Sus scrofa: one gene and its partner. The protein of the gene in region 1 purifies or fractionates together with the protein of each later gene. This does not show direct contact. Links are inferred from orthologs where the notes say so. Each region holds a gene or a part of one and is shown on either strand. Other genes may lie near its edges. The genes, in order: UBA6 and USP48.

Region 1 (3,599 bases):
TTGTTACTTTTACAGAGACATGCTTGAGAAGAACTTACAATGCTTCCATACTCTTTATAGGACATTGGTTATGAAAACATCTGTAAGATATTTAGTCCACACCAAAAAAGCTCTTGGAATTTGAGCCATACCAAGTGGTTTTAGACAAGACCAAGTATCATGGACGTTTTGGTGTGGACCAAAATGTATTATGGACATTTGGACAGGACTAAATGGCTGCTAACCCTCCAAACTTTATAGGAAGTATAGAGGAGAAATCATTTTTAAAAAGCATTGCTTACATTTTGGGTGTTTTTGTGTGTGATTTTTTTTCGATGTGTTTTGTTTTTGTTTTTGTTTGTCCTTCAATAAATGGTCTATTTTCTTTATCAGTACCAACAGAGGGAAAAATTGATTCACCCTTAAGTAAATGAGTGTCTTGATTTTACAACTTTCAGTAAAGAAAATAATTATATGCATAAATTTGAACAAGCCCAGATTGGGCAACATTGATCAGCGCATCACTCTGATTTTACAGAATTTACCAAATTATTTGTCCTTGTTTATTTTTCTTAGAATGCATAAACTTGTGAAACCTTCTACTGAAAAGAAATATGTGGATCTTACTGTGTCATTTGCTCCAGATACTGATGGTGATGAAGATTTACCTGGACCTCCAGTAAGATACTACTTTAGTCATGACACTGATTAACAGAAGTTGTCTTAAATTTAGGATTACTTAATGTTGGAAAGAATGCACTTCATTCAGGAGCTAAAAAAGTCAGTTTGTAATGGTATGGATTTCTCTTTGATGAAGCCTTAATTTAAGGGAAACATCAGTAGAAAACCACAGTGAAGAATTGTAAAGCATGTTGAAGCATACTATACACTTGTGTAGTGCATCATATGTGGATGTAATCACAAGCAACTTTGAACTGGAATGCCTTTTTTTAATGCTTACAAAAATATTTGTGTATTAACCTCTTTGAACGAAAAGAAGGAAAAATAGCTATCCAAGACCAGAAGAGATAAAAGATCAAGAAACTGAAAGTAACAAATGGAGCTATCCAAAAGGTTTCATCCTATTTTATGAATTTCTCTTTGTTTAGTATTTGAGGCCCGTGTTTCTATACAGATAGTGTTTGGCTCCCTGTACCCTTCATGGTGAGGCTTTGACTTTAACACCAGTGGGTAGAGGAGGGGTGGTAGAAGTGGATGAATAGTAGACATTTGAAATGTACAGTTACAGATTACTGTCCTGTTACCTCTGATGAGTTAACCAGAGTTTATATCACTGCCTCCTCAGAATCAGGATCTTTGTTGAACACATCAAATGACAGGTGTTAACCGGAACTAAATGTTAACATATTTTTTGGACTCTGATAGGCCTCTTAGAGAATCCGTGAATGTGAACACATAAACACGGCTAGTCATTTGATTCTTCAGTATGCCTTCTGATGTGGTTATTTTATTTATTTGGAACTCTAAACCTGATTGTCATAGCATATAAGACTAAAAGACTTTGTAAAGGGAGTTGTCCTTAGAAGTAGATGAAAAATAGAAATTAAAAAATTATCACTAGTTGAGTCTTGATTTTTTTCTTCCAGCAACCTAATGGACAGAAAAAAAAATTAATATTTTATTTTAAAAGGAAATGTATTAATTTAATTCTACATTCCCAGAAAGGGAATTGATGAAGATAAAATTTTATTTTTTTAGGTCTTTGTGATAGAAACTTTCTGTTTTCTGAAATGAGCTATTGCAGATGTTCATAGAAATGCTTTCATTAAGATGACATAAAGTGTGCTCAGCACTGTCAACTTAGTGAAAACACCAAGTATTTATTCTTTTTCTAAGGCTATCATGCATTCTAAAGCAATTTTATAACTGCAAAGTCATTTCCCTTTAGCTGCTTGTCTTCTATTCAGACCATGAATAGGTACTTCAATAAATTAAAAACTAGATTCACATTAGTATTACTCTAATTTGATATCTTTTTATATTCTCTACTTAACTTTTATTCCACTTATGAATAGTTTAAATTACTTAGCCAACTGTATTGTTTCATTCTTTTGTAAAACTATCATCTAATTGGGAAAATAATTTAGGAGTGAAGGGTGAATTTGTATGATTAATTGATAATCTGTGGAGTTCTCTTGTGATGCAGCAGGTTAGGAATCTTGTGTTGTCATTGCAGCAATCTGGGTCGCTGGTGTGGCACGGGTTTGATCCCTGGCCCAGGAACTTCTGCATGCTGAAAGTGCAGCCGAGAAAGAAAAATAATAATAAATAAATAAAGGGTAATCTGTGCATTTGGAAATGAGGATAAGTGAACAGGATGCATTTAAAGAAATTGGCTGCCTTCAAAATAATTAATTTTGATTCATCAATCATACCCACTTCTATCATGTATATTGCAAGTATAATGCTTAAAACTAATATTACTTAAAAATAAATCAAGGAATATCAAAACTCTGTGGCTTAGAGCTTTAGAGACTAGCAATAAGACTTTTCTATAAGAATCCTGTTTGCCACTTTTCTGTTTTGTACTCTGATAGTAACTCATATTTTCCAGGTAGGCATTCAGTAATTCTCTAGTTGTGATCTGAGAGCTTACTTATATTTGGTCCAAATCTCCACATCTCTTTAGAAATAAATTTAGAACAGAACCAAGTTATCAATTCTTATTCAGTGCTTTTAGCAGATATCAACAAAATCAACAAGGCTTAAATTCATTTTGTGATGAAGGCTGAAACCATATTCTCATAGCTTTTTTTTCCTGTAGGTAATATTTATTGCCATTAATTTCTTCTTTTTACTTCTACTAACCTGGAAAGCCAGTGTGAATTTAGTGATGGTTTTTTTCATTATCTATTTTGTTTATTTCTGTACCATGAGATCACTGCTGGTAATTGAAATATCAGGTGCAAAAATGAATGATTTGATTTTGTACAGTACCACTGAGTAATTTTTTACCTATTAAAAATAAATTAAGAAATTTGACAATGTCTTTGTAAATCCTGTTCCATACTGACTCCAGAGATTCCAATTTTACTATTCGTTTGGTGAGTAGTGTTGCTTTGGTGTTTCCTAGTTTTCAAGTTTTGCAGTCATGAAGATACAATACTCACTGAATGTGGAGGGACATTACTTCAGAGTGCTTTTGGCTCCTGGAAATTCTGTTAAAACAATTGAGGGAATATTGAGAAACCTAGAAAATCTGGTATATCCCAGATGTTGGTTGGGGATTTAAATTGCATTCCTTTTCAGAGCAGTATGTTACTCATCTATAAGTTCCTTTAAATTGTTCCAAAGGTAGAACTTGGAAATAGATTTTTTTTTTTTTTTCTATCATGGCACTCCCTGGTGGTGCCAATGACAAGGCATAAAAAAAATCAGCAGTGTTTGGAGTCTACTGTTTTATAATTAGTGTAATAAAGACAGAAAGAAAATTCTTCTCTTGAAATCTTGAGGGAAAGAAGTTTACCTAATAATCCTTTCGACTCCAATGATTATTATCAAAAACTCATTGTGATTGTAAATGTATAACCATTTAATATACAGTCACTAGGTATAGGTTTAACTATTTTACTTTTATTTTTTATTTATTTATTTATTTG
Region 2 (3,827 bases), on another chromosome or scaffold:
ATACTGTTGGTGTGGAAAACAGAGAAGGCACCTTTCCTCAAGAATATTTGTACTTTGTGAGGCAGATCAAGAATAAGCCCATAAATCCATAGGATGATTTCAGATAAGAACAGGTATTTTGAAGGAAATATAGCAGGGTAAGTTGAGAGACCAATAGAGTCCGGGTGCACTGTTGGATAGGGAGTGGTTAGGAAGGGTGCCTCCAGGGAAGAGCTGTTTTATTATCCGAGACCCAGCCTTTGGCATGTGGTCCAAGCAAAAGCATAAGCCTAATGTGCTCAAGCAATAGTTACTGTGTCTAGAGCATCAGTGCCCAATGGAACTTTCCGCAGTGATGGAAATGTTCCAGATCTACACTATTCGCGTGGGAGCCACTTGCCACATTTGACTGTGGAACACATAGAGTGTGGTTGGGGTGACTAAAGATCTGAAATTTTTCTCTTCATTTAAGTTTAAATAGCCACATGGGTCCTCTGGCTACTGTAGTGGACAGCACTGGTCTAGAGTTTCTTCCCAGGAGGTTTAGCGATGTGATGAGGGCTCAGGTTTTGTTGGATTTTATATACATCAAGGCGAGGATATGGAATCTCTAAGTGTAGATGCAAGCCACTGGAGAGTTTCAGGGGAGGTCATGGTGTGGTCTCATTTTTACTTTCAAGTCCACCCATACCATTGTGTGTGGATGTGGTGAGGACATTATGGGAAATAAGGAAGCCAGTTTAGAGCCTCTTACACTGATATAAAGGATAGGTGTGATGTAGACAGATTTGGGTATATTTAGGGGGCCAGGGATGTTACTATGGATTGGTTTTGTTTGTTTGTTTTTTAAACTATATTAGGGATGGCTCTTAGGTAGATCCTTAGCCAGATTTCTAGACATCTCATTTGGTTCCAAGGTTTTTTGGAAGTAAAAACAGAATACATTTTATTTAATGGTAGTTATCAAACATTATTTGAAGATAACTTAAAAATTATGCTCTGATGGTCTAGGGTTTTGCTTTTACAAGTTGAAATGATGGCTTAATTTCCTAATTTGGTGAGAAAATGAAGTTTCCCCTAGAATTTTCTGATATTTTGTACCTATCAGTGCATGTATATATTGGTATCTAGTATAAAATAGTATCCAATTTAGGTAAAGTTTCATTATTATTATTATTTATTGCTTTGACAGCAGTATTTATCCATAGTTCATTTTCTCAGTCTTAAGGAACATTGGGACTCCAGCCCATACTTGAAAAGGCTTGACAGATCAGTGTCACGGGAAAATGTAGAGCACCTTCGAACTTGTGCAAAATAACATCATTGTAAAATCTGATAACTGCTCTGCAGAGACTGTTTACATTTATGGGGAACACATTAAATACAAGAATAGATCAGAAAGTAAAAACCAGCGTATTAAAGAGCAGAGGTTACAGAAAGGCCTTGAATCTTGATCCTCTGTCTGGTCTATTATCCCACCATTGGTAAAGGTGGCCAGTCCAAGCCCCACAGCCACCATAGCTCACCTTCCTGGTGGCTGACCTACTTCTCTCTCTTTTCCTCTCACATTCAGGTGATGAAGGATTCAGCTCCGGAACTAAATGTGAGTAGTTCTGAAACAGAGGAGGACAAGGAAGAAGCTAAGCCAGACGGAGAAAAAGATCCAGATTTTAATCAAGTACGTGCTGAACCTACTCTTCATTGTTACACCTTCTGATGTTCTGAAAGTAGTCACTAAAAGTCCCTGGACATCCCCATAGCCTTGGAGGATATTGGTTTTCCTGTTTTTCTTCTCCCCTTAATTGGATAGCCTGCTATAGCTGTCCTGATTTTCTCATGAAACGCAATGGACTACATTATTCCAGCATAAATACATTTCTTGCGCTTAAGGCTAAATACTCTGTAATGATAAAATTTTTATCTGGAAGGAAGACTTAAGACCCATATCTTGGTCTGTTGATTAATCATGGACTCTTTATATATTAAACTCATTTTCCCTCATTACAAACAAAATAAGACAATAGCTTTGATAATGGAGTGTATAGGAGTTCCTGTCTTGCCACAGCAGACACGAATTGACTAGCATCCATGAGCATGAGATCCCTGGCCTTTGCTCAGTGGGTTAAGGATCCAGCATTGCTGTGAGCTGTGGTGTAGGTCTCAGACTCGAATCCTGCCTAGCTGTGGCTGTGGTGTAGGCTGGCAGCCATAGCTCCAATTGGACCCCTAGCCTGGGAACCTTCTGGGAAGAGTTAGGGCTGTGCTGGATCTGATCTCTGTACCTAAAAGCAAAAAAAAAAAAAAAAAAAGAGGAGTTTATAGAAGAGATTTTTGGGTCTCTTAATGTATTAGTCAAATCACTAGATCAGCATTAGTTTTTTTTTTTTTTTTTTTTTTTTTTTTTTGTCTTTTGTCTTTTGTTGTTGTTGTTGCTATTTCTTGGGCCGCTCCCGCGGCATATGGAGGTTCCCAGGCTAGGGGTCTAATCGGAGCTGTAGCCACCAGCCTACGCCAGAGCCACAGCAACGCAGGATCCGAGCCGCATCTGCAACCTACACCACAGCTCACGGCAACGCCGGATCGTTAACCCACTGAGCAAGGGCAGGGACTGAACCCACAACCTCATGGTTCCTAGTCGGATTCGTTAACCACTGCGCCACGACGGGAACTCCCAGCATTAGTTTTTCATTCTTCATGGTGATGATATTAAATTCCAAATATTTAATAACTAAAATGTCCTGTTTTCTGTGTATATTGTTATATTTCTACCTCTCTTATTTGGTTGTTTGTTTATATTCTACATTTTCATAGTGATTGGAGGAAATTGTCAAAAACAGGAAACACTGAGAATATGGCTGTTAATATTGTGTAAATAAGTTTCAGCTTCTCAAGATGTCTGTTATTCACCAGGGCAGTATAGATTTACCTTAAATTTATAGGATTTCTACTGCAGAGTTTAGTTTTATGAGTTCCCTTGTGGTGCATCATCAAGTTAAGGATCTGGTGTTGTCATTGGGTCAGCTTGGGTCTTTGCTGTGGCATAGGTTGGATCCCTGGCCTGAGCATTTCCTGGTACAACAGGTGCTGCTAAAAAGACCTGATTGCTTAGCTGTTTGTTTGCTTTCTCTTCTTTTGGCCACACCCAAAACATAGGGAAGTTTCTGGTCTGGGGACTAAATTTGAGCCACAGCTGCAACCACAGCCATTTGTATTCCATCACCTGTTGAATTTCATAAAATGTTAACTTTAAAATACCCATGAGAGGGAGTTCCCGTTGTCACTCAGTGGTTGACGAACCCAAGTAGGAACCATGAGGTTGCAGGTTCGGTCCCTGGCCTTGCTCAGTGGGTTAAGGATCTGGCGTTGCGGAGAGCTGGGGTGTAGATTGCAGACGCTGCTCCGATCCCACGTTGCTGTAGCTCTGGCGTAGGCTGGCGGCTACAGCTCCGATGCGCCCCCTAGCCTGGGATCCTCCATATGCCACAGGAGTGGACCTAGAAAAGGCAAAAAGACAAAATAAAATAAATAAATAAATAAGATACCTGTAAGGAGTACAACAGGATTGGCAGCATCTTAGGAGCCCTGGAATGCAGGTTCAATTCCAGCCTGGCACAGTGAGTTAAGGATTCAGCACCGGTGAAGTTGTGGCTTAGGTCACAACTATGGATCAGATCTGATCCCTGGCCTGCAAACTCCATATGCCACAGAGTGGCCAAAAAAGGAAAAAGGGGGGGGGAAAATCTGGGAAAGAACAAAGTCAGGCACTTTGTTCTGCTGGCATTGATTGTTCACTCACTGCTACCAAATTTTTGTTCTGGGCCCCTTTGCCTCAGTGCTAACCACTAAAT

Evidence for each region.
Region 2: the proteins of UBA6 (region 1) and USP48 fractionate together in Homo sapiens (co-fractionation; 3 studies listed by BioGRID, with this or other methods). This does not show direct contact. The link is inferred for Sus scrofa from reciprocal best matches to the Homo sapiens genes UBA6 and USP48.

What each region holds. Positions count from the first base shown.
Region 1 is NC_010450.4:65,380,441-65,384,039, reverse strand, and holds the end of UBA6 (ubiquitin-like modifier-activating enzyme 6), read left to right. Parts: intron 1-555; coding exon 556-691; 3' UTR 692-2,982; downstream 2,983-3,599. UniProt on the Homo sapiens protein: Activates ubiquitin by first adenylating its C-terminal glycine residue with ATP, and thereafter linking this residue to the side chain of a cysteine residue in E1, yielding a ubiquitin-E1 thioester and free AMP.
Region 2 is NC_010448.4:79,758,211-79,762,037, reverse strand, and holds part of USP48 (ubiquitin carboxyl-terminal hydrolase 48), read left to right. Parts: intron 1-1,552; coding exon 1,553-1,657; intron 1,658-3,827.